Linked DNA regions of Rattus norvegicus. The protein of the gene in region 1 interacts with the protein of each later gene in a pairwise test. Links are inferred from orthologs where the notes say so. Each region holds a gene or a part of one and is shown in the gene's direction. Other genes may lie near its edges.

Region 1 (3,500 bases):
AGGAAAGCAAGTCGAATCATCCTTTGACCCCCTTCAGCAGCCAGGCTCTGCACCTGTTCATGCTCTAGGATGATCGCTCACCTCCATATCCTTACCAGAAAATGTGGAGGGAAGATAGGGCATGGTTGTTTCCTTATGGCCATGATCTGGAAGTTGAAAAATGTCACTTTGGTTCATATTTTGTAGACCTTTGTAGAACAAACTTCCCCCTCCACATAGCATTGGGGACAGCTAGGAAATATATATTTCATGCTGGCATCCATGTCCCCACACATGATTTGGGGTTGGTTACTAAAGTGGTGGAAGTGGGTGTTGGGGATAGCAGCAGAGTCTGCCTCCCCCTCAGTGGACACCTACCCTCCATGTCCCATTTAGACATTATCCATAAGTTCATCCGGGATAAATACTCAAAGAGATTCCCTGAGCTAGAATCCTTGGTGCCCAACGCTCTGGATTACATCCGCACAGTCAAGGTGAGTGGAGAGGAGTCTGGCTTGGGAAGAACTGAGGCCACTAGACCAGGAAGCCTCAAGTCTAGAAATAACGGGGCTCAGTGGTGAGAGACAGATACTGGAATGGATGTGTCATACACATCCCTTGCTTCCCTCCTCCCCTTGGTTTTGTGGGAGGATAACCACTGACCTGGCCCTTACTTCTAGCTGCAGTTGGAGCAGGAGTCCTTTGATCTGGCAGAGGCCACAGCTGAATAAGAGCTAAGACCCTGAGTGGGAACAAGTAAGGATGAAGTCAGAAGGGGCAGGGAGGGAAGCTTAGAAAGGTCAGAGAACATTAGACGTAGAAGGTGTTGGCTTCTCTAGAAGTGATGGGAGCAGGTGGAGGTGAAAGAGCAGGGGTCCTGTCTCTGCCCAAGAGATCAGGATGGTGGCAGAAGAAGTCTTGTCTGTGGAAGAAAGTGCACTTTTGAAGGCCTCTTTAGTGCACATGTCTTCCTTGGAGGCTGCTCTGCCTAGGTTCTACTTCTGCATCAGCAGAGCAGAGTAGGCAGCACTGATGCTTTAGGCAGGGATGTTGTAAAACTGTAAAAGGCACGAGAAGTCTCCAGTATATGGACCTTAGCTTTTCCAACTTCCTCAAGGGGAGACCTGTGTTAGTGTTCCTAGAATTTCTTTTTCCCCTTCCTACCCCAGGAACTGGGCAACAGCCTGGATAAGTGTAAGAACAATGAGAATCTCCAGCAGATCCTGACCAATGCTACCATCATGGTTGTTAGTGTTACTGCCTCTACCACCCAGGGGTATGTATGCCATATGGTAAGGTGCAGCAAGCCTACAATAGGACAATTAACAAAAGAGAGAGAGGCAGAATGGGGGTCATGGTCAAGGTGGTGCTGACTGAGAATTATGACCCCTAGGCGGATGGAATTTTAGATAGTCCTAGAGCTACACAAACACACTTGCATACACAGCTGAGAGGGTGGGTGGGACTGAACACTAGTTAGAACTGTACCTAGCAAAACTGGGGTCTGTTCCCAACCCTTACCTGCCCCACAATGCAGGCAGCAGCTGTCAGATGAGGAACTAGAGCGACTAGAGGAGGCCTGTGACATGGCACTGGAGCTGAATGCCTCCAAGCACCGCATCTATGAGTACGTGGAGTCCCGGATGTCGTTCATTGCACCCAACTTGTCCATCATCATTGGAGCTTCCACGGCTGCCAAGATCATGGGTGAGGTCCCAGCTAGGTCCCTTTGGCTGAGGCTGCTGATAGGTTAGGTTGCCTTGGGGAAGTGGGGTTTGGCCTTAGCGCGATTGTATTGTCCCCTGAAGACTGAGATCAGCCAGCTTGGTATGTACACACGATAGAAGCATAGCAACTCCCTTCTAGGTTTAGCTGGCTGGCTGAATCAGGTTGCACAGATGGCAAGCCAACTTCTTCCTGCCAATAGGCCCATTTTAGACCCTGGAGCAGCCACAGAGTACTGATGTCAGCTCAAGCTTTCCTACTGGATAGGGCAGCAAACCCTGCCATGTGCTATGCTCTTTCTCCTGGAAGCTCCTGTAGCAGAGTCCTTTCCTTCCTTGCAGAGAGATGCTTGCAAAGGGAATATGGGAAAACTTACCATCTTTGCTCACTGAGCTTCAGGCTTGAGTCCCACAGGCCAAGATGCATATACTCCTGAGGCTACTGTTTCAGAGCTGGCAAGTCTGAGACCAAGTTGCTGTGAGACTTCTCCAGAGGCCTCTGCTTGGCTGTGTAGCCACACCACTTGTATCTGTATCCTTATCTCCTTTTCTTACAAGAATGCCAGTCAGATAGAGTCAGGATCCATATGACCTCATTTTACCTTAGTCATTTCCTTAAAGATTCTGTGTCCTGAGCTAGAAAGATGACTCAGCTGGTAAAAGAATTTGCTGCCCAGGCTTGACAACCTGAGAACCTGAGTGTGGTGATTCCCCCAAACCCACATACAAGAGGGGAGAGCTAAGTCCCATAAGTTTCTGATCTCCATGCACACACCCTACTTATACATATAAAATAATAAAAATAAAATCCCCCTCCCCACCAGAAAAGATCCCATGTCCTGCTGGATACAGTGACTTATACTAGTAACTGTTATTTGGAAGGCTGAGGCAGGAGGGTTGCTTTGAATTTGAGGCCAGCCTTGGCTACTGAGTGAAATACTTGATATCAAACCAGCCAACAAATGAAGGTGCAAAGTTGTCTTAGTCACTGTTCTCTTGCTGTGAAGACACAGCTGGGGGCTTACTTACACTTTTAGAATCTTAAGCCGTTATTATCATGGCAGGGAGCACAGCAGCAGGCAGGCATAGTGCTGGAGATATAGATGAACCACAAGCAGAGAGAGAGAGACATTGGACCTGGCGTGGACTTTTGAAACCTCAAAGCCCACCCCCAGTGACACACTTGTTTCAACAAGGCCATGCCTTCTGAACCTTCTAATCTATCAATGAGTTTTACTTTGTGGTGACTGTATGAGCCTATGAGGGACATTCTTACTTAATCCACAAAGGTATACATGAGTTCCTGGATGTAAACCCTGTGTTCTGACCTCACCTCTTTTTGCAGGTGTGGCTGGAGGGCTGACCAACCTGTCTAAGATGCCTGCCTGCAACATCATGCTGTTGGGAGCCCAGCGCAAGACACTGTCTGGCTTCTCTTCTACCTCAGTGCTGCCTCACACTGGCTACATCTACCACAGTGACATTGTGCAGTCTCTGCCCCCAGTGAGTACTTCACCTTGACCCCTAGCCCCAGCCACTAGGCCTTATCTGGCTTGGCTGGCAATAGCCCTCAGGCTCCTGGAGGATGAGGCAACATGGTTGGAAGAGCAAGGATACTATTCTGGGTCTGCCACTTGGCAATGAGGATGGTTGGGTGGCTGGAAACCAGGGGCAGCTAGAGCATACCCCTCAAGAGGCAGTTATTAGGAAAGCGCACAGGCATAAGGCCTACCTCCCAGAGTCTGGGGTATGGCTGGCCCTAGATGAGAAGTGATTATTGTAGTGGCTGTTACCTTT
Region 2 (3,500 bases), on another chromosome or scaffold:
GTTTTATCACACAGCTAAAACCTGTACCTTGTTTGAAACCAATGGATTGTTTCTGGAACTTTTCATCTGATATTCTTAGAGCATGGCAAACTCTGGACAACAAATCAGAAAGTAAATTGTCAGTGAAGAGAGGAGACACCACACACACACACACACACACACACACACACCATACTACACATAGCACATGTGCTCACATACACCACAGTACACACACACACACACACACATATATATCACACTACACATACACCAGACACCACACACATACACACACAAATACACCACACACACCACACACATACATACTACACTATACATAAACTACACACACATACAGAGACACAACCACACACACAATTCTAAGACAGCATACATGTAAGACCCCTTATATCTCACTCTAAAATGTATCCTTGTGATGTCTCAGCTTGGATATTTAGTCAGATAAGCCTTTATTTGAAACGATTTTGAAATAAGCACATGACATAACAGGATAGAAGAAAGGGTCACATCTATGTGATTGCTGCCTGTGTCTTTTGCTCAAGATTATTGCTGTCTTCACTCTAAAGCACACACGTTTTGGTTTCTTTCCAGGTCTCCTGAACCCACTGGTTTGCACTGAACAGCAATGGAGCATGAAGAGTTGTCCTACTGTGTGTCAAGACAGTGGTTGGTTCTGAAACTCATCTGAAGAGGTTCAAAGAATCTTCTAGATGTGACATTGTCAGAGGAGGACAGAGAAGGTGACAGCTGCCTGTTGCCCTGCAGCTTGAAGGGAGGCCGCATGGCCAGCAGCCCTCATTGAAGACGTGACCATGAGTGTCCCACTCGCGCCAAAGAAATCCTGTTTCAGTCAGTTGCGAGATCACCGAGAAGGAGCAAAAAATAATAACGACAATATTCTGAGGACGGGGGATACAAATGCCAATCAAATCATGTTGGAGGTTAGCGCCTCTTGCGATGAGCCCAAGTCACGTGATCTGGATGATGAGATCGGAAATGCAAATTTAAGCAGGCCACAATACCACGGCCACTTCCAAAAGGAGCCTCTTCACCTTCAGGGCCTCGGGAAAGGGTCTCAGGCTGGCTCTGCCAGCCAGAGGGATTCTCAGTCTTCTCTGACTGTTCATAGGCAACTGAGTGAGGAGCACACAGTAAAAAGAGGTACCCTGCAGACCCCCCAGAGTATTCAGGGACCAAGTTTCTCCAGCTGGAGGAACGCAGTGGGTCAAGCCAGTCCAGAGGTTTCTGCTGAGATTCCCAGGCACACTCCCAAGGACAAATTGGCAAAGACTCTTGACAACGAAGAGCTGAAGCGAGCAAGCAGGTCAGCAGCTGCAGCTGGTGGCATCACTCCAACGACGAACCCACAGCCAGCGCAGCCGGACATCTCGGAGCCTCAGGGTCACGTGCCTGGGCATGGGGAGGGGCCACAAGGGACACCAGCCAGTCACTCTCCAGGGAAAGTTTTTTCTCCAGGTGACGGAACCTCAGAGGGGAACGGTGTGTCTCTTCCTAAACCATCTACCTCAGAAGCCAAGGGCTCCAGCCCATCAGACACCAAGGTGGAGGGGACACGTGGCCCAGATGTTCACAACCAGTGCACCGCTCGTGCAGAACTGACTCCCAGTCTAGCTTCAGCACTGAGGGAAAACCCCAGCCTCTGTCATCCAGAAGTGTATTTAGGTCAAGGAACAGGGAAGCCCAAAGTGGAGCTCAAATATATCCAACCCAGGAATGAGGAGGGACTAACATCAGCCCAGGCCCAAGCTCTGGTATGTCGTGAGGAAAGAAGCACGTCACCTGTAGACAGGAAGGAGCTACTTGAGAAGGAATACCGAGAAGCCACCGGTCAACTGAACAGCAGCCAGCACCAGCTTGGAGTGGGACGAGGCGGCAGCCAGGAAGACGGGATTGGAGTCAGTGCTGGTGTGGAGGGGTCTCTGCAAGCCACCCCTGCACCGAGCGCCGCTCCCGCGGGAGAGGCAGGGACTGGACTCACCGGGAAAGCGTCAGCAGGTGCGGGTAGGATGGCGAGGGAAACAGCATCCGGCAAAGCTGCACCTGATGACGGACAAGTAACTCCTGTTCTCCGTGATCCAAATGAGAGCGCGCCCTCCGAGGTCAGTGGGGAGGAGAGGAGGCTGGGTAGCGGGAACTCGGGCAGTGCCAAACTGTTGGCCTCAGGTCCTTTTGTGGGTGGGAACAGAACCGACGCCTCCGAGCTCTTGAGCCCTCGAAGTAGCAGCTTGGAAGCCAGGAAAAGCAAAGAGACGGTAACATCTGTAGCTGAAGATAAGAACCTTCCAGAAAATGCGGCCCAAACTGACGTCACTCCGGCTGGAGTAGATTCCGTGTTCAGTACCCCGGCTCCCCTCCACCCAGAGACAACTGTGAACTTGACTGAGTACCTGACTCCTCCAAGTAGCAGTTCTCAGGAGCTCGGAGTGTTCAGTGTGGACACAGGGTCACTCTCAGTGGCCTCAGCCCCCACTGGTGGTGGGCAGGTACTGAACACATCGCCGAAAGTGCCTGACAAGACCACCTGCCCCAGTGGAATCCCCAAGTCTCTTACGCACCCCAAGGACACGCCCTCCTCCCAGGAAGCACTGGAGAAACCGGAGACAGAGAAAACAGAAGAAAGGACAGAGGCAAAGCCCATCCTCATGCCCAAACCCAAACATGTGAGGCCCAAGATCATCACTTACATACGCAGGAACCCCCAGGCGCTGAGTCAGGGAGATGCTTCCCTTGTCCCAGTAGGGCTTCCGTATGCCCCTCCTGCATGTGGTATGCCTCTTCCCCAAGAAGAGAAGGCGTCGAGCCTTCAGCCGCCTGCAAATATGTACGAGAAACTGAAGCCTGACTTGCAGAAGCCAAGGGTCTTCCCTTCCGGATTGATGGTGTCTGGGATCAAGCCCCCAGCGCACCATTTCAGTCAGATGAGCGAGAAGTTCCTGCAGGAGGTAAGCCGACATCATTGTAAAATGATGTATCCATTTGTGGTTTTCTTTAGGTCTGTTGTTTTTGTTTTGTTTTAAGTGAAACTTGGAAACAAAATGTCTTCTGTAAGTGAACTGCAGACGCTCAGGGATACACTGCTACCGAAGGGTGTACTTAGGCCTGGGAGTGACTACTTAGAACACAGAGTGATAGTCAGGTTGGGATCGTCCCAAGATCTAAGGTGGCTCATTCAAGTTTTACTGAGAACGAGAGACACTTGGAATTAGACAAGGGCTCATTTAAGTCAGCTTCCACCTTTAATAAAGAAGTAGCGATGTATGGGCCAGGTCAAAGCAAGGAAAAAGCTGAAGTAAACAGTATTCAAATCCTTTCGAGTGGAGCGGTTGACTCTGGAGAAAGTCTTGTGGTGAGCTGCGAGCGGTGGCACACGCCTGGGATCCTAGCATTCATGAGGTTAGGAAAGAAAGAGTCCCAGGCCAGCCTGGGCAACTGAGTGTAACTCTGTGTCAGAAAATACAATAGAATATAGCTCGAAT
Region 3 (4,151 bases), about 51 Mb from region 1:
GTTACTTAGTGTCAGTTCTTTTGACGTATGTGATGCTGGAGTTCTGAGCCTTTTATTATGTTTCTTGATAAGTTATACAAGAAAAATTTCGCTTATTCTATTTCCTTATTTCATATTTACTTTTGCTTCATTTCACCTCTTTTATCTATATTCTTTGATAATGTTCCTCTTAGCTTGTTTTATTGTTGTTGGCTTTATTTAGTGGAGAATAATATTTTAATATTTTGAGTTGGATGATTATATCAAAAGCATTCAGAGTTTTTTTAACCTTAGTTTGTAAGACTGCCTGTAATAAAATTATTTTAGCAAGCATAATTTTAGTTTTGGAAAAAAGTAGTATATTAAATATTATAAGACAACATGGTTATTACTAAAAATAAAAACCCACAAATAACTACACTATAAAATTTAGTATGACACTATAGTAAGTAGATGTAGCATTGTAGAACTATATATGAAATTATTAGTCCAATAGTATATATCTGCAAAACGAAAAAACAAAACAAAACAAAACTGCGGCTCAATGTGGAAATGGAAATGAGACACTTTGGTGCACAAAGAAGAGCTTGTATTATGAAAAGCTCGGGAGAGCAGAATGGGATGAAAAGGAAGGCAGGGAACAAAGGGTCTCCGAATCCAACCAACAGAAAAAAGTTAAAAGCCTGGGTCACTCTCAGACCTTGGCTTATTAAGTCTTCATCAGGGCTAGACAAAGTCTAGGCTTCTACTTTGTTGTGGGGTGGGTGGGGATATATAACAAAGGCAGGAAAGTGAAAGGCTCTGTCTGACTAGCCTCAGGGCAGAGGATTCCCTTCTAATTAAAGTGCACGCAAATTAACCCTTCAAGGAAAAAAGACCCAAAGAAATTGTGTCAGATCTATAAGCGTCAAAGGAGAAATGCTTCGGCGGGGGGGCCCCTTTTCGATTTAAAAAGTAGTCACCTATAAACAAAAGACAGATTGAACCGAAAAATATTTTTTAATGTTTATGAGTGAAATGTTCTATAAATGTCAATAGCAGCCGATGGCAAAGGCAAGGATTGTAGCGTTTTCTTAACTGAAAACGAAAATAAAATGCAATGTATACAACCGAAACCTGGAGAGATTAAAACATCAACCTTCAAGGAAAACAGTGTGGAAACGGGGGTTGGGGAGTTCAGAATCGCTCTAAGAGAGCCGGCAGAAGCCGATTCCAATATCTTAAGCGGTTACCGGTACGGGAAAAACATGGCGGAAGCAACTTCCGGTGAAGCACCGGAAAATGGTGTTACAACCGGAAGTGTCCGGCTGCCTGTAAGCAGGTAGGAACCAAAGTTCTCAGGGAACAGGGAGCAGGTGGGAAGACAAAAATTGATGCACTTCTCTCCGAGAAGAAGCTGATCGGACCATCTTCAGCTCCGCAATTCAAGCACAAAAAAGACATAATATTCGGGTTTTTGGACAGTGTTAGAGGCACGCTGCGTGATGGAAGAGTCTACAGCTCCCATGGAAGCCTACGAGGCCGCCGGCGCCGAGGCAGGTGCTGAGGGGGGGGAGGGTGTGTCTGCCCCCCCCCCTCCTCAGTTTGAGGCTTCTGGAGCTTCTGCGGTAGCCAGCTCAGCCCCTCTGCAAGAGGCATCGGGCCTGGCACCGTTTCTTATGGCTCCAGTCCCTGCGAACCGGCGCGCGGCGAGTTTGAGACCCGCTCCAGCCGAAGGGGGCGGGGCCAGGTCTGGTCCGGAGCGCAACACAGGCAGCTGGACGAAGCAAATCCTCTGCAGGTATTATCTGCATGGGCAGTGCAAGGAGGGCGATAACTGTCGCTACTCTCACGACCTTTCTGGGCGGCGGAAAGCTAGGGGGGGCCAAGATTCTCAGCCTCGGGCCTCTGCAGACAGAGGACCCAAGATGGCCACTCACTGGGAGCCCCCGACTCAGGAAGTGGCGGAAGCCCCCCCTACTGCATCCTCAAGCTCCTTGCCTCTGATTGGCTCGGCTGCTGAAAGGGGCTTCTCGGAAGCTGAGATTGACAATGCAGGCATTGGCTCAGCTGCTGAAAGGGGCTTCCCTGAAGCTGAGATTGACAATGCAGGCCTTGCAGCAGGTGCTGCGGGAGGAGCGGGTGCAGAAGGCTGGGAGGGGGCAATTGAGTTTGTTCCTGGACAGCCGTATCGAGGTCGCATGATCCCCCCGCATGGTCCCGAGGCTCCTCTGCAGAGCCCGGAGATTGAGAGAGAGCATATGGCTATGGGCATGGGAATGCCGCTGCCGCTTTGCCGCTATGCTGCTCGGGGACAATGCCTCCGTGGGGACAGGTGTGCATACCCCCATGGAGAAATATGCGACATGTGCGGGCAACAGGCCCTGCACCCTTGGGATGCAGCTCAGCAGGAAGCTCATAGAAGGGCCTGCGTTGAAGCACACGAGAGAGATATGGAACTCTCTTTTGCTGTGCAGCGCAGCATGGACAAAGTGTGTGGCATCTGCATGGAGGTTGTCTATGAGAAGGCCGACCCCAGCGACCGCCGCTTTGGCATCCTTTTCAGCTGCAACCACACCTACTGTCTTAAGTGTATCCGCAGGTGGAGAAGTGCCACACAGTTTGAGAACAGGATCAGTAAGTCCTGCCCACAGTGCAGGGTCTCCTCTGGCTTTGTCATTCCTAGTGAGTTCTGGGTGGAGGAGGAAGAGGAGAAGGAGAAACTTGTTCAGCAATATAAGGAGGGGATGAGCCAGAAAGCCTGCAGGTATTTTGCTGGAGGCCTAGGTCACTGCCCATTTGGAGAATTCTGTTTTTACAAGCATGAATACCCCGAGGGCTGGAGAGATCAGCCTCCGAGGCCAGATGGTGGTGGATCGTCCAGCGCATACTGGCATCAAGTTTTGGAGCCTGTGCAGTTGCGAGAGGGAAGCGTGCTGTTTAAAAGCCGTAAAAAGGAGCATTCCGTGCTTCGCCTGGCCAATCAGTTGCTTAAGAAGTTGCTTTGCCTGCGAGGCAGTTTTTCCATCTCTGATGACCGGTGGCTCTTGCTTCAGTACCAGCTGGAAGAATATTTCAATTTGAATCTGTAGTATCACGCTGTGGCATGTGGTCTGGTCTGCTAAGGCTCTGTTGTCTGCTGTTGCTTATTCCCCTTTATCGACTGACTCAAAAACCCTATCGCTTTCAAAGGCTGTTGAGGCAATCTTTATGCAGTATTGCTGTTTTCTCCTCTATTTCCCATTTCTTCTCGCTAGGATTGTGATGTTTCTCCGTGTTACAAAATAACAAGAAATCTTATAAGTATTGTTTGGTGGAATTAATATTTCTGTCAGCTGATGACTTGTGATGTCTTTTTCCAACAGGATTCAATCACTTCTAGTCTAGTGTTTACAGTTTCTCATTGTGAAGTCCCTTAAGAGTAAATGTGACAAGGTGACAAAAGTCTTTAACTGAATTATGAGCTTTTTGCTATATAGCCTTAAAAAAAAAATGGACCCTTACAGGACCTTGCAGCTGCTGTCTGTGTTTGTTTACATGTTTGTTTCTTCTCTTTCAAGTGCACTTGTTAACTTGTGGTTATTTTGTGGTTCTGTTTTACTTGACCAAAATGAGGTGCATATGTTTACATGTTTTTATCCTGTTTGGCTTGATGTGAAATTATTTATATTTGGAAATATATATTTAAGAATGATATATATGCGTATATGTATACAAAGATGTATTTGAAAAAACTGGAAACAAATATACATCGTAATATATGTTTGAAGTAATGAAATAAATGTAGAGCTGAAAGCCTAATGTTAAAGTCCAAGTGTATGGGCTGTATGTGAATTGTGTGGATAATTACCTGCCCTTGCACTGATGTCAGTGATTAGCATCTAATAAAAATGACTGCTATGTGTGTATCTGACTCTTTTTAATGGATTTACAAAACATGACTTTGAAAATTTCTATGATAACATTAACAGCTTCTCTATAATGAAACAGTGCCTCACACGAAGTCACCATCTCATTTGTCTTCACAGTGACAATTCCTGAACTCAAACATACATTTCTTTGTTTTTAATATCTTAAATATCTGGTTATTGTATATTTTATAAGCAAAGAACTTTTAAGGAAAGGTTTTCAAAATAAAAGTTATGTGACTATGAAAAAAATAGTAATAAGTATTGACGTCAGACAGGGTATAA
Region 4 (2,580 bases), on another chromosome or scaffold:
CAGAAGAATGTCTGGAGGCCTTTAAGCAGGTGTTTGGGAGCATGGAGAGCCGTAGAACCTCACAGGTCAAATACCTAAAAACCTATCAGCAAGAAGGAGAGAAAATCTCAGCCTATGTGCTCCGGCTGGAGACTCTGCTCCGGAGAGCTGTGGAAAAAAGGGCCATCCCCCGGAACATTGCTGACCAGGTACGTCTGGAGCAGGTCATGGCTGGAGCCAACCTTAGCAACGTTCTTTGGTGCAGGCTACGGGAGCTGAAGGATCAGGGCCCACTGCCCACGTTTTTGCAGCTGATGAAGGTGGTCCGTGAGGAGGAAGAAGAAGAGGCCTACTTTGAACACGAGAGCAGAGAGGAGCCAGGGGAAAGGGAGGGCTCTGGCCGCTGGGACAATTCAAGGAACAACTGACAGACATCCCTACTCCATTTCTGATCTGGTAATGCTTGACAAGGCTAATCCCATTCTAGTGCACTTTGCTTTAAAGTGCAGGACTGAAGTCAAGCATTAGGAATGAAGGTTTTGGGGTTTTTTGTTTTTCCTTTTTCTTTGGTTTTGATAGGTTCTCACCTTATAGCCCAGGCTGGCCTTGAACTGGTATTCTTCCTGCCTCAGCCTTCCAAGTTTGGAGTTCTGGGATTAGAGGAATATACTACCACTAGAGCTCCATCTTGTTTTTCTTTCTGAGGTAAAAAAAAAAAAAAAAACCTGGAGTTTGAGGGACTCTAACTAGATTGTTAAAAAAAAAAAAAAATACAAGACTAAGTTCCAATACCTAAAACTCCTGAATCTTAGTTTCCTACACAAGGGTTGGCCAGACAGCTTGGTTGGTCAAGTTGCTTGTCAGTCTCTTCAGACGGAGTGATAATGTGAACAGGAGATAGAAACTGGCCAGGCAGGGGCTGAAGAGCTACTCGTCAGCAACTAAACACACTTGCTACTCTTTTGAAGGGATCCCAGTACCCATGCGGTGGTTCCCAACTATCAATAACTCTTGTTTCAGGGGATTCAACCTCTTCTTCTGGTCTCTTTAAGCACTGCACACATGTGGCACATACACATACATGCAGACCAGACACATAAAATAAAAACAAAACCTTAGGAAGGAAAGAAACAGGCCGGGCAGTTTCTAGGCATTCCCAATGTATCCCTGGTTCTCTGGTCCTGTCCCCTTCCTAAGGGTTACACTTGAGGGTGGGACCTTTAGCCAGACACTAATCCATTTGTGGATAGCTGTAGAATTAGGTCCATAGATTTTTTCATGATAAAATGGCTTATATCTGTTCCCCAATTTTAGCCCATCTCCTAAATGATTTTAGGGTTACCTCATCAGAGGGGAGAATTTACAGTAGCCTTAGTCAGGGCTCTTCTGAATCTCATTCAGAGAAAACCGTTGCCTTCTGGTCAGAAGAATGGTCTAAGCAGAGACATACCATTGCAGGCTAACCACAGCATGAGTTAATCCAGTTGGACAGGTTCATCGCCTGGCTAGTGGACTGCCCATCAGGAAGGCAGATTCACCTTCTCTATGCTAATGAGATGGGAAGAATAACTATCCCTTTAATGAGGTCATATACTTTTCCTTCCCAGAATCCCTGCTATCTATACAGCCACTACAGAACCACCATGAAATGTCATTTTCACTTTTTCCTTTTCGTTTTCTGCTTTGGCACTGGCCCAGGTTTAAGTACACACTCTCTAGTATTCTGGGCTGTTTCTCTTTCTCCATGTGGCTACATGCTTACCTTCTACCTACTCAAAAACAGTGGCTTCTCTCTTCCTTTTCTCTATTCCTTCTTCCGGGCAGTTTTGATCCCCATAACCCATGGGGTAGAAGAAGAAAACCACTTCCTGCAAGCTGTCATTACACACCACACACACACACACACACACACACACACACACACACATACACACACACACATTCATGTAATTTTTTTTTTTTTTTTGGTTCTTTTTTTCGGAGCTGGGGACCGAACCCAGGGCCTTGCGCTTCCTAGGTAAGCGCTCTACCATTGAGCTAAATCCCCAGCCCCATGTAATTTTTTAAAACCACGCCAAGTAGACCAATGTTTACTCATACCACAGAAGGATAAACTGACCTTATTTAAAACAACAACAACAACTTACGTGAAACACATATATCCTGTGTGCAGCAATCTACTCGTTATAGGGTGTGTGTGTGTGCTTGCATGCATGTGTGTGTGTGTGGAGGAGGGGCAGTGCTTGTGACACACCTCACAACAAGAAAGAAGCAAAGCTCTACTGAGTTAAATGGTCTCAGCACCAAAAGTGCTCAGAAGTGATACCCGAACAAGACTTTAGGAATCCACCCTTCGTTGTGTGTCACTCCAGTGTGTTTTCTCAGTTCTGTAGAGGATTGATTTTTAGGCAAGTGTATTTTAAACTCCTTAAGTCTCGAACACCCAGCAGGCAGTATCAAGTGCGCTAGTATCAGGTCTCAGGATGTCAGTGTTCACCAGGCTTGCTTTTGTTTCCAGACTCACCCATGGCTGCAGAACAAAGCTGCCTGCTGGCAATGGTGTGCACATTCCAACCAGCCTGTGGCTGTGCACAGCCTTGA
Region 5 (3,500 bases), on another chromosome or scaffold:
TTTTTTTTTTTGGAGCTGAGGACCGAACCCAGGGCCTTGCACTTGCTAGGTAAGCGCTCTACCACTGAACTAAATCCCCAACCCCTTATTAATTTTTTAAGAGGTCTCACACTAGCTTCGAACTCCTTTAAAGTTTTAATTTTTAAATTATTAAAAAAAATAAAAAATTTTTAAATTATTTTTATTTATATGTATGTGTGTTTGTGTATGTGTGTGTGCACGTGCCTGTCAAGATCATAAAAGGGGATTGGATTTTTTTTATGGAGCTGTAGTTATAGGAGGTTGTGAACCACACCATGTGGACACTGGAATTTGTTACTGGTGTTTTGCTACTTTGTGGATTTTTCTTTCTTCCACCCTTCTCCATCGTTTCCCACCCTTTCAACTCCCTAACACTAGATAGGGAAAAAAGGATAAAAAGGAAAGGGGACAACAATATGGTTCAACTATTTCTTCCTGATTAGGGACACTGAGTTCCTTGGGCCAAGTTTGGTCTTCCCTGGCCAGGATATCACATTTCTTCTTCTTTCTTCTTTGCACATAACTACTGAATAAGTGGTAACAACAACCAGCAATCTACCTACTGGGGCTCTAGCATTTATACACCCTCTGAAAAGTTCTGGATGTCACACAATCGCAACTGTCTGCAGCTGGCAAGATCACACCCCTGCTAGAGCACAAGGCAAATCACAGTCAGCTGCTGTAAGCAATCGTGTGAAGCAGCCCCATATAGCACACCTGGGACTAAAATAAAAACATTCCTAGTTCTGTTTTTTTTTCTTGTTGTTGTAGTTGTTTAGATTTATTTATTTATATGAGTCCACTGTAGCTGTCTTCAGACACACCAGAAGAGGGCATTGGATCCCATTACAGATGGTTGTGAGCCACCATGATGTGGTTGCTGGGATTTGAACTCGTGATCCCTAGAAAAGCAGTCTGTGCTCTTAACCGCTGAGCCATCTCTTTAGGCCCCTAGATCTGCTTTTTAAAGAAACCAAAATTCTCACGGCAGGAACCAAACTCCAGTCCTCATCAGGAGTATCAAACACTTAACTGATGAGCCATCTCCTAAGCCCCTGGCCTCAAACTCTTCACTCCTTCTCAGCCTCTTTTTCTGTTTGCTTGTTTGATTTCTAAGACAGTTATAGTCTTCCCTGACCTATAACTCACTTTGTAGACTAGGCTGGCCGGGAACTCACAGAAATCTTCTTGCCTCTGCCTTCCAAGTGTTTCTCCTCAGCTTTTTGAGTGCTGAAGTTATATGCATGAGCCATATTTTTTTTAAAAAAGCCCTCATTTTATTTTATTATTTTATTTCATTAATTTTGAAACAGGGTCTCATGAACCTCCGGCTGGTTTTGAACTGCCAGTGTAGCTGAGAATAGCCTTGAACTTCTGATCTCCTTCTTTCCAGTTGAGTGCCTGGATTACAAGTGTGCATCACTACATTAGTTTATCCAGTGCTAGGGATAGAACTCAGGGCTTAGTGAATGCTAGGCAAGTGTTCCTCCACTGAGCCACATCCCCCACCCTCATATTTTAATATTTAATGTCTACAAAGACCCTGCTGTAGAAAGTGCATACCTGATAGCATTTAAAATCCTTGTTCCCAGGCTACAAAGTGAATGATTTAGCCTTGTTTTTTAATCAAGGAAACTGAGGCTCAAAGAAAATATGATAGCTACTTAGAATCATGCAGCTAATCAATAGGGAAGTTGTTTTGTTGTTTTTTGGGGGGGGGTTGTTTGTTTTGTTTTGTTTTTGAGCTGTGACTTCTCTTAAGCTCTGTAGACCAGGCTGGCCCCAAACTCAGAGATCCACCTGCCTCTGCCTCCAAGTGCTGGGATTAAAGGCATGCGCCACCACTGCCTGGTTGGAAAGTTGTCTTTTTGTTTGGTGCAAGTCATGGAACCCAGGATTTCACACATGCTAAGGAGGCAAGTCGATCTCCACTGAGCTGTATCTCCAGCCTAGATCCATCTGAAAATTTAAACAGGGGTCTCTTTGCTCTAAAGCCTGTATCTCTTCCCGTGTTTTTTTAAAAGTGAAGTGTAGCCGCCTGGACCACCTGGGAAACTCATAGCCTGAAAGGGAACTAATGTCTTTTCTCACTTCCTCAGGCTTACCTGCGAGCCATCGATGTGAAGATTCTGCAGCAGCTGGTGACCTTGAATGAGGGAATTGAGGCAGTGCGCTGGCTGCTGGAGGAGCGGGGGACACTGACCAGCCATTGCAGCAGTCTCACCAGCAGTCAGTATAGTCTGACAGGGGGAAGCCCAGAACGCTCAAGGCGGGGCAGTTGGGACAGCCTGCCAGATACCAGTTCAACTGACCGGCTGGACAGTGTCTCTATTGGCAGCTTCTTGGACACGGTGGCCCCCAGAGAGCTGGATGAACAAGGACACCCTGGGCCTTCCTGTCCTGAGATTGACTGGGCAAAGGTTATACCCAGTGAGGACAGGGCCAGGACTGAGGTGGACATGACATCCACCAAGCTAGGGAGCCTAACAGCTACATGGAAACTTCCAGGGGACGGGCTCCAATGTGGACCACCTGAGCCATCAGAAGATGACAGTGCTAAGCAGGGCTTTGAGGCTCATTGGTACTGGGGACAGTGCCAGGATGATGTGACCTTCTTGTAAAAACTTTCCTACCCATTTGCACTTTGTGGCTCTTTCAAATTTTGGCCCAAGTCTCCCTCAATTTTCTCTCCACCTCCAACTAGACGGGGGCTGGAGGCTGTACTACAATCAGTTACCATGGAAGCCTGGCTTATCTCTCTGGTTCCTGGGGAGCCTCTGCATTTATCCCTCAATTATTAGGTCCCTAAGGCTATCTCCATAGAGATATTGACTCTAGAGGCCTAGCCTGTGGCTCCTGATGTAAGGCTATCTCCATTCCCCTCCCCAGTGAGGTGAGTTTTATGGAATGTAGGGCCTCTAGGAGATCACTGAGGAAGAGATCTCATCAAAGCTTAGGAGCCAGGAATGCCTCTTACCAAAAAAATGGAGAATTGACCCTGTTTCAAAATGCTCAAACCCCCAAGGATTGGTCCGCCTAGATACCTTTGGAGTTGGGAGACCAACCCTTTCATGCCTGCTGGGTGATGTCGTTTCTTGTCATGATACATGAAGAGTGCTTCCTCTATACCAGTCCTGGTGGGTTTGGCATTTAAAGTCCCTGCCACTGCCTCTTGTGAGAAGGAACATGTCGTTCTTCCTGGCAAATGTGTGTGCTGCTTTTCTCAAGTTCTTACTTTTCAAACATGGTGTTTTCATGTTGTTCTCAAGGCTTCCACTTACAGCCCAGGGCTGTAAGGATACTCTTGTCGAGTAAGAAACTCAGAGGCCTCCACCCTAGGCTCCCAAATCTCTTGGCTCACTTTACTGCAGACTTTTGTCTGGCTCTGGGCTGCCCCATCACTGATTCTTGCCTCCAGATCTGTCTGCCAGAGTTCAGCCGGAGTACCCTCACAGCGTCTCAGTTTCCTTTTTAGGTCT
Region 6 (3,936 bases), about 140 Mb from region 1:
AAATGAAATGAAGCAGAATTTTTATTTCCGTCACAGCAGAGCGGAACATGGTAGTGCACGCCTTTCATCCCAGAACCTAGGAGGCAGAGACAGGCAGATCTTTGTGAGTTCGAAGCCTCATCTACTTAGTGAGTTTCAGAACAGTCAGAGCTACAGTTTGAGACTCTGTCGCAAAAAGACAAAACAAAAACAAACAAAAAAAGATGGAAAGAGGTTGGGAAAGGGAAAGGAAGGAAGGAAGGCCGGGTTATTGCCGCTAGCGGTCTGGGCCAAGCACGGGAGCCCTGGACACGCAACCCTTTCCCGTCTAGACCCGCCCTGAGACGTGGGCAACGCGAAGTCCCGCCCATTTACCCCTTCCTGGGCGCCAGAGGCACCCAGACTCCGCCTCCAAGGCATGATCTCCGCTGGGGGCGGAGGCGGAAACTGGGTGGGGGACTTGGATGGGAAGAGGGTCGGGAAAGGGCTGGCACTGGGCCCTAGTGTCCTCCGCGACCAAGTTCAAGCTTGCCCGCCTTCTCAGGGGCTTCCATTCATTTCGGGCCAAGACTACTGCTGCCCTCGCCCCCATACTATTGTAGCGTTGCGCAGGCAGGGCTTGGGGAAGCAGTGCCCTGAGTAAAGAGACCACCTGGGGGTGGTGGAGGTGGATACAGAGGGAATTGGACAATTAATTGTATGCCTGGACGAGGATCAGGAAACCTTGGATGAAGTTTTAGGACCATCTAAGAGTGTAACACTGGATAAAATCCTGAAAGTGGTAGCATTTGGAGATCTGAGGATTAAATAAATGTTTGTTAGGTTCTGGGAAGCGCAGAATCCGGTTACACGGAGGTGCGAGTGCACAGAGGGATTCCGGAGGCACAGGTTAGATAGGGTTTAGGTGGACAGAATAATCATTTTGAGTGAGGGCCTGGGGTCCCCAGGTGAGTTTGGGTGCCAAGCATCAAGGTCAATGGTCTAAGGACCCAAACATTGGGAAACTGACTAGGCGTCCACAGGCGACTCCAGGCAGCGCCGCGGGGGACCGGGTGGGGGCCTGTGGCCGGCCGGGGCGGAGAAGCCGGGGGGTCGGGGTCCCTCCCCCTGGCGCGGGCTCAGGAATCCGCCGAAGGGCGGGCGGAGGCGCCGGGGTGGGCCGCGGCGGGCGGGCGGGGGGCGCTTCCTGGGGCCGCGCGTCCAGTGAGCTGCGCGGTCCGTCCGTCCGCCCGCAGGCACTGCTGGAGTCAACGCGTGAGTGGCCTCCAGCGGAGGGAGGGCGCGGGCCGTGTTGCGGCCGAGTATATGCTGCGCGGAGCGGAGAGGCCTGCGCTTCATGACTCGTGGGGCGGGGGCGGGGCGGTCCAAGATTGCGGCCCTGAGCCCCAGGCCTGCGAAGGGACTCGGTCCCCAGCCCTGGAAGGTTTCGGTGCTCCCAGAACAGTCCTGGGACGAGATAGCTGGGACCCAGCCTCCCCTTCCAGATGGAGGGAATGGGGGGTGTCGTGGCAGAAACCCCTGACTTCTGCCCACCCCCTCTCAGCCCCAGGATGCTCCCATTTGCCTCCTGCCTCCCCGGGTCTTTACTGCTCTGGGCGTTTCTGCTGTTGCTCTTGGGAGCAGCGTCCCCACAGGATTCCGAAGAGCCGGACAGCTACACGGTGGGGACCTTGGGGTCACCAGCTTGGGATGGGATGGGAAGGACAGCGAGTGAGGCAGGATCCTGGGGAGGCTGCTTCTGGGAATGATTCTCCCCTGCTTGGTTGGTGGAAAGCTGGAGGCCATTGTGTGGAGCTGACCTGAGCATGACTGAGCTCAAGCCCTGGTCTTGGCCTGGCTAGTTGGAGGAGACAGCCAGGGTGGTCACTGGCCACATCGGGTTCCCTTCCAGGAATGCACAGATGGCTATGAGTGGGATGCAGACAGCCAGCATTGCCGGGGTGAGTATGTCTGGGGTACTAGCCATCTTCAGGAACTGGGAAGGGGATTACTTCTGTTTCCCAGGGACACCTTATCTCCCAGAGCTGCAGCAGGAACTTGATGGCCTTCCCACTGTCCACCCTGGTAGCCAGCCATCTGGTAGGCAGCCATGCTTCTCTTGTGCCACTCAATTAGGAGCCCTACCCCTTCAAGAGGGTGAACAAACTCTGCCTCTGTCCTGCAGGAGGCAAGAGAGCACCTGGCTATTGCCCAGAAAGAAGGAAATACGTACACCTTCCCTGAACTGCACTGCACTCTCCCAGCCCAGCTCTATCCCAGTGCACCCTGGGAGGGCAGTACAAGCTCTGTGGGTCAGGAGGCCTGCAAATTACTCTTGGGCAAAGGTAGAGGCAGGGATTTGAAGAGAAACGGAAACTCACATGGAGGCAGGAGAATGGGGGTAACAGTGTGAAATAGGGGGCCACACACCCAGTCCTGCAAATGCCTGGGAGGGGTTCTGGGTCGGCAGCCTTTGCTGAGCAGAGAGAAAGCCTTGCTGTGTTGCTCAGTTTAGAGAAGGCCAAGTTGGGCTTCTGCCTCCCACTACCTCCAGGGCCAGCCCAGGTGACTGGCTGTGCCCAGCAGGCCCCTCTCTGCAGATGTCAATGAGTGCCTGACCATCCCCGAGGCTTGCAAGGGTGAAATGAAATGCATCAACCACTACGGGGGCTATTTGTGTCTGCCTCGCTCTGCTGCCGTCATCAGTGATCTCCACAGTGAAGGACCTCCACCACCAGCAGCCTCTGCTCAACACCCAAATCCTTGCCCTCCGGGCTATGAACCTGATGAACAGGAGAGCTGTGTGGGTAAGTGGGGGCCATGCTGGCACCTAGGCTTCCAGGCCTTTTATAAACTTTTTTTAAAAAAAACTAACTTTGGGGGTTGGGGATTTGGCTCAGTGTAGAGCGCTTGCCTAGCAAGCTCAAGGCCCTGGGTTCGATCCCCAGCTTCCAAAAAAAAAAAAAAAAAAAAAAAAGAATAGAAAAAAACACTAACTTTGTATTTACTGTTCAAAGTAATGTGTTTTATCATGGTGCCATCTCGGCATATATCATTCTTGTTTCTTTTAATCCTCCAGTAGAGTTATTTTAGTCCTCCTTAGTTTGTTTCTTTGTTTTTGATTTTTGAGAGAGGGTTTCTCTGTGTAGCCTTGGCCATCCTAGAACTCAGACTCAGAGATCCACCTGCCTCTGTACCCCACCATCCAGCTATGTACTTTGGGTTTTGAGATCGTTTCTGGATTTGATTCCTGGCACCACAAAAAAAACACAAAAAACAAGTGTGGTAGCGCACACCTGTAACCCACCAGTGGGGAGAGAGCAAAAAGATCCGAAAGTACAGGTTATCCTCAGCTGCGTAAGAACTTTTGAGGACCACCTGAGGCTGCCCGAGATCTTACCTCAAAACAATTAATTAACAAAATAATAAAGTAATTTTCCCTATTTAATACCCCAGACCTCATGCTCCTTCCGTCTGGCTGCTCAGAGAAATATCCAAGTTTTCATCTACTGCAGGCTCAGTGCATGGTCTGCAGGCCCAGGATGTCCCTAGCAGCCTCAGTTCCTGGACAGACATGTGAGAGCTCTGCTCCCAGCCTCTGCCAGCTTTTTGATCTGGAGTCAGGTCTGGGAGGAGGAGAGATCCTGGCCCTGCAGTCAGCTGCGGGGTATAAATGGACAGGGCTTTATTTGTCTGTTTACTTATGTATTTATTTTTAAGACAGTGTCTCACTCTGTAGCCCTAGCTACAACTAGCTTGGCACTCACAGAGGTCCTCTTGCCTCTCTTCCCCCGCAGTGGTGGAATTGAAGGTGTGTGCCACCAGTTCCCACAAGACCCTATTTTAGTATGTTCTCCTAATGGGTACTTTTCCTGGTAATTCCTTGGTGGACTCTTTTTTGGACTATTGGGATGATCTCAATTAAATGTTCATGATTTGATGCCAACTACCCATGTGCATGGGCCCCCTCCTCACACG
Region 7 (4,052 bases), on another chromosome or scaffold:
TTACATATAATACACGAACCTCATATGCAAGAGAATATGTTTTGCTCACTACCAAACTCTCAGCACCTGAGTCAAATGAATGGATTTGGAGATTCAGTAAATGTGAACATTTACATTAAGTGTTTACTTAACGTGGCGGGGGGTGACTTTCATATGTGAATTATTAATGTTTTTTTCTTTTCTACTCTTTTTTTTTTTTTTTTAAAAAGACAGACTTCTCACTCTGTAGCCCAGATTGATCTCAAACTCAAGGCAACTGTTCTGCACTCTCCCAAGTGTTGAGATCACAGATGTGTCACTAAGTACACCCAGCTGCAATTTTTTTTATTTTAACAATGAATTTATATTACCTGCATGCCAAAAAACGTATCAAGAGGTCACATAGGCAGATAGCATATAAATGAATTCCAACAGAAATTGGACACATCTACGAAACAGATTTTTAAAAAGATATTACACATAATAGTTAAGATCCGCCATGGTTGGACTCTCTTCCCCAACGCTTGGTAGCACTGTGATCCTAAGTTATATATTTCAATGCCTAAATTTCCTCAGCTGGACCGTGAGGGCAGTAACAGCGACTCCCTCAGAAAGTTGATCTAGGCGAGCCCTTATGTGTAACCCTCTTTGTACAATGCCTGGCATGCAGTAAGGACGGACTCCACAAATGGAAGCTCTTATAAGAATCTATACTAGTAGTAGAAAGAGATGTTGGGACATACCTAGCCCTCAAGAGTGACATCAGAGTGGACCACCACATCATCATTGCGCTTCCATGTGGGCCTCTGAAGCCCAGAGAGGGGATGGGTCTTTCCAGAGAAGGCAATTTCGACGTCCCAGAAGCATCAGAGTAAAAAGGACCCTCTTCACCCCTCAATTCATTCAGTCTAGGTAATCCATGAGTGGCACAGCGCGGCTCGGGCTCGCCATTCTCCAACCAGTGCCTAGGCAGCCTCAGTTTCCTTGCTTTCAACAGAACTGGAATGGGACTGTTAAGAAAAAATCCAGACTGAACCAGCCGAGGCCGCCTTAGCGCGTGCCACCGGGACGCCAGTGGTGACGGGGAAAGTGACAGCAGGTCAGAGTTCAGGGCCCACCGACAAGTAGCCAGGTACCATGCTCCTCATCCCGGGGCGACGCCACCGGGACCCGCCCGCCGCGGGACTGGAGGAGGCGGGACAGACTCGGCGTGCTCGTGACTGAGTGGTACGGGACCGCGCACGTGATTCGGGGCCGCGCACGTAGGCCGTGGCGCGCACGCAGAGAGTCTGCACAGCGCACGCAGCGGCGGGCTCTTCGGTGCCGAGGTGCGGGACGTGGCGAGGTGAGGCGCGGGGCCGAGCGGCGGGAGCGAAGGCACTCGGGGTCACGAGGTGCGGGCTGGCTCTGCGGGCCACGCGGCGGGGGAGGTTGATGCGGCCCGCGAGTCCCGAGCCCCTCCCCCCCGCGGCTGGCGCTGCCGCACCTTGGTATTCGGGCTGGGCGGTGGAGCGCGGCCCCGGCCCACCTGACCCGCCGAGCCCCCACGTGGGTCTCCGCGAGCCAGTGTTTAGCACCGTTTTGGAGCCGAGGCCCCGGTTCAATGACTTGCCCAAGACCGTGCAGCTATAAGGATGCTGTCTGCACAATTGCCAAGCCCCCGACTCACTCCCCTGTTTTCCTCATGGGGTTCTGACCCTCGCCCCCTTCCCTGCTCTTTCTGGTAATTAATTTAAAGGAAGCCCGTCTGTCAAGGATGTTAGTGTCACTGCGTGGTCTTTTAAGGAAGGAGAGGAAGGAAGATTTTACTTTCTGCAACATTGTGCTTTGCGACGTGAAGTGTTTTTGTCAGAACGTATTGTAGTGTCTTTGACAGTGTAAGGGTCTATTGATAGGGCCCTGCTGTTCAGCAGGCTGTAAAAACATTATGCAAATACCCCAATCTTTAGCGCTTCTGTTTAGCCTGCGCCAGGAGATTGTTAGGATTCCAAGATATAGTCTACATACTTCCATTCAGTACCTGGCATATGGATGTTGGCTGTTATTTTATTCCTGGGTATATAATATGCCTTTGTTGAATTGATTTTTTTTAATTAATTAATTTATTTCTTTAGGCAGCCTCATGTATCTTGGGCCAACCTTGAACTTAATGTAGCCAAGAATTTCCTTGAACTCCTGATCCTCTTGCTTGTACCTCTGGAGTACTAGGTGTAAGCTTATTGGATGCTGGAGTTTGAATACAAAGCATCCTTCATGCTTAAACCCCCTATAGTTGAGCTACAGAGTCCACAACATTCTTCTTCAAAGACCCAGTTTTCTTGGAACTATATAGAGGAAAAACTCACCCCTACCCAAAGTAGCCAAAAAAATCGGCCCTCCACCTTATTATCTAAGCATTACATATACTTTGTGTATCAGTCCCCAAGCTAAAAATGTCAAAGTGAAAAAACTTTCAGGAGAAATGAAGGTGCATTAGCCTTTTAGAAGACTAACATTTATTTGTCCAAGTTGCTAAGTGCTTTGTTTTGGTGTATGTGGTCTGTTTGTTTTTTTCTCCAAGATAGGGTTTCTCTGTGTAGCCAGCGCTGCCTTCCTGGAGCTCACTCTGTAGATTAGGCTGCTTGTGCCTTAGTGCTAGGATCAAAGGTGTGCCTGCCATGCTTGTTTTAGGTTTGGGGTTTCAAGCAGTAGATAGCCAGGGATGACGTTGAATTCCTCCTATTTCTACCTTCTGTTTGAATGAGTAAATTACTGATCAATATATGTTCGGTAGGAGTCCTTAGTTTCCAGTAATAAAATTCAAATTAATTTTTTGAGACAGGGTCTCACTCTGTAGCCCTGGCTGGTTCAGAACTCTCCATGTAGACCAGGCTGGTCTTGAACTCAGAGACCTATTTTTTTTCTGCTTCCTGGGTGTTAGGATTAAATGTTCATACCACTACACCAGCAAGTTCCAGATTTTGTAAGGAGGATTACTTTAAATTCTGTGAGTGAAATGAACCTTGAATGGTTTTCTGATCTGTGTGGGTCTTCTCTTTGTTCATAGGGGACCGTGGGATTGTTAATCTTTGGCAACTTCTGAAGTCTCAAAGCTCTGTATCAAGGAAGATCACACAGCAGTCTGTCAGCTAGAGGATGGACCGTTTGGGTTCCTTTAGCAGTAAGTACAGTGGGACAAGTCTCTAGTGATAATGAATAGCGAGCGAACTAAAATAGAAGTTGATCAGGGAAGCAACGCCTTTGAAATTGAATGATAATGCCTGAAGGAATTATGAATATCACATAATTATCACATATGCAACACAGCTTCATCACTTTAGAATAAAGCCAGGCTGAGTGGACTAGCCCCATATGATTGATCTATAAATAAACATGTTATTTTAAGCCCAAGTTCTCGTGTAGATTGGCTGGCCTGGAACTGGCTTTGTAGCGAAGGATGGCCTTGAACTACTTGTTCATCAAGTAAGTGCTGGGATTCCAGACTTGTATCATCATTGGATTTCATAGAAATAGAAATCATAAAAGTGAGCAGTGCACATACAGGCATGTACAGTCACAAAGTAGGTATTTGTTAGTAAGAACCAGAAGTGTGCTTTTAGGTCTTGTTTCCTGTCATTTTCTCAAAGGCACTCTGCATTTTCCCTTTGTAGGTTCAGCAGAACCTTAGACACATCCAGTTCTACATTTTCATTTTACTAATGTTGCAAGTGTAAATTGGAAAACTCTCACATCATTTCCTTCAAGAAAGGGTTTCTCTGTGTAACTGAGTTGACTATCCTGGAACTCTTTGTAGATCAGGCAAGCTTCTGTTTGGTAATGTGTCTGCCTCTGGGATTAAAGGCTGGTACTACCTCTCCCCGCTATCCCATCCTTTAAAACAATTGTTAGAACCTATCACGATGGCACATTCCTTTAATCCCAGCACTCTGGAGGCAAAGGCAGAGAGATCTTTGTGAGTTCAAGGCCAGCCTGATCCACATAATGAGTCCAGACAACCCTGGACTACTTAATGAGATCCTGCCTAAAACAGCAAACAAAAAACCCACAAATAATAATGATGACAATTTGTCCGT

Evidence for each region.
Region 2: the proteins of Prpf31 (region 1) and Mtus2 interact in binary tests that used the Homo sapiens proteins (3 or more experiments, as listed by UniProt). The two-hybrid records come from large-scale screens. The link is inferred for Rattus norvegicus from reciprocal best matches to the Homo sapiens genes PRPF31 and MTUS2.
Region 3: the proteins of Prpf31 (region 1) and Mkrn3 interact in binary tests that used the Homo sapiens proteins (3 or more experiments, as listed by UniProt). The two-hybrid records come from large-scale screens. The link is inferred for Rattus norvegicus from reciprocal best matches to the Homo sapiens genes PRPF31 and MKRN3.
Region 4: the proteins of Prpf31 (region 1) and Pnma2 interact in binary tests that used the Homo sapiens proteins (3 or more experiments, as listed by UniProt). The two-hybrid records come from large-scale screens. The link is inferred for Rattus norvegicus from reciprocal best matches to the Homo sapiens genes PRPF31 and PNMA2.
Region 5: the proteins of Prpf31 (region 1) and Lurap1 interact in binary tests that used the Homo sapiens proteins (3 or more experiments, as listed by UniProt). The two-hybrid records come from large-scale screens. The link is inferred for Rattus norvegicus from reciprocal best matches to the Homo sapiens genes PRPF31 and LURAP1.
Region 6: the proteins of Prpf31 (region 1) and Efemp2 interact in binary tests that used the Homo sapiens proteins (3 or more experiments, as listed by UniProt). The two-hybrid records come from large-scale screens. The link is inferred for Rattus norvegicus from reciprocal best matches to the Homo sapiens genes PRPF31 and EFEMP2.
Region 7: the proteins of Prpf31 (region 1) and Tada2a interact in binary tests that used the Homo sapiens proteins (3 or more experiments, as listed by UniProt). The two-hybrid records come from large-scale screens. The link is inferred for Rattus norvegicus from reciprocal best matches to the Homo sapiens genes PRPF31 and TADA2A.

The regions. Positions count from the first base shown.
Region 1 is NC_086019.1:74,496,423-74,499,922, reverse strand, and holds part of Prpf31 (U4/U6 small nuclear ribonucleoprotein Prp31), read left to right. Parts: intron 1-375; coding exon 376-473; intron 474-1,148; coding exon 1,149-1,255; intron 1,256-1,516; coding exon 1,517-1,686; intron 1,687-3,048; coding exon 3,049-3,206; intron 3,207-3,500. UniProt on the Homo sapiens protein: Involved in pre-mRNA splicing as component of the spliceosome. Required for the assembly of the U4/U5/U6 tri-snRNP complex, one of the building blocks of the spliceosome.
Region 2 is NC_086030.1:11,975,004-11,978,503, reverse strand, and holds part of Mtus2 (microtubule-associated tumor suppressor candidate 2), read left to right. Parts: intron 1-594; 5' UTR 595-815; coding exon 816-2,966; intron 2,967-3,500. UniProt on the Homo sapiens protein: Binds microtubules. Together with MAPRE1 may target the microtubule depolymerase KIF2C to the plus-end of microtubules. May regulate the dynamics of microtubules at their growing distal tip.
Region 3 is NC_086019.1:125,338,379-125,342,529, reverse strand, and holds Mkrn3 (probable E3 ubiquitin-protein ligase makorin-3), read left to right. Parts: upstream 1-1,351; 5' UTR 1,352-1,463; coding exon 1,464-3,050; 3' UTR 3,051-3,866; downstream 3,867-4,151. UniProt on the Homo sapiens protein: E3 ubiquitin ligase catalyzing the covalent attachment of ubiquitin moieties onto substrate proteins.
Region 4 is NC_086033.1:45,293,060-45,295,639, forward strand, and holds the end of Pnma2 (paraneoplastic antigen Ma2), read left to right. Parts: coding exon 1-407; 3' UTR 408-2,080; downstream 2,081-2,580.
Region 5 is NC_086023.1:134,855,367-134,858,866, reverse strand, and holds the end of Lurap1 (leucine rich adaptor protein 1), read left to right. Parts: intron 1-2,120; coding exon 2,121-2,642; 3' UTR 2,643-3,224; downstream 3,225-3,500. UniProt on the Homo sapiens protein: Acts as an activator of the canonical NF-kappa-B pathway and drive the production of pro-inflammatory cytokines. Promotes the antigen (Ag)-presenting and priming function of dendritic cells via the canonical NF-kappa-B pathway.
Region 6 is NC_086019.1:212,210,586-212,214,521, forward strand, and holds the start of Efemp2 (EGF-containing fibulin-like extracellular matrix protein 2 isoform 1 precursor), read left to right. Parts: upstream 1-1,136; 5' UTR 1,137-1,233; exon of another isoform or gene 1,234-1,463; coding exon of another isoform or gene 1,464-1,529; coding exon 1,530-1,640; intron 1,641-1,870; coding exon 1,871-1,919; intron 1,920-2,558; coding exon 2,559-2,765; intron 2,766-3,936. UniProt on the Homo sapiens protein: Plays a crucial role in elastic fiber formation in tissue, and in the formation of ultrastructural connections between elastic laminae and smooth muscle cells in the aorta, therefore participates in terminal differentiation and maturation of smooth muscle cell (SMC) and in the mechanical properties and wall integrity maintenance of the aorta.
Region 7 is NC_086028.1:69,508,770-69,512,821, reverse strand, and holds the start of Tada2a (transcriptional adapter 2-alpha), read left to right. Parts: upstream 1-1,252; 5' UTR 1,253-1,324; exon of another isoform or gene 1,325-1,373; intron 1,374-3,025; 5' UTR 3,026-3,114; coding exon 3,115-3,139; intron 3,140-4,052. UniProt on the Homo sapiens protein: Component of the ATAC complex, a complex with histone acetyltransferase activity on histones H3 and H4. Required for the function of some acidic activation domains, which activate transcription from a distant site. Binds double-stranded DNA.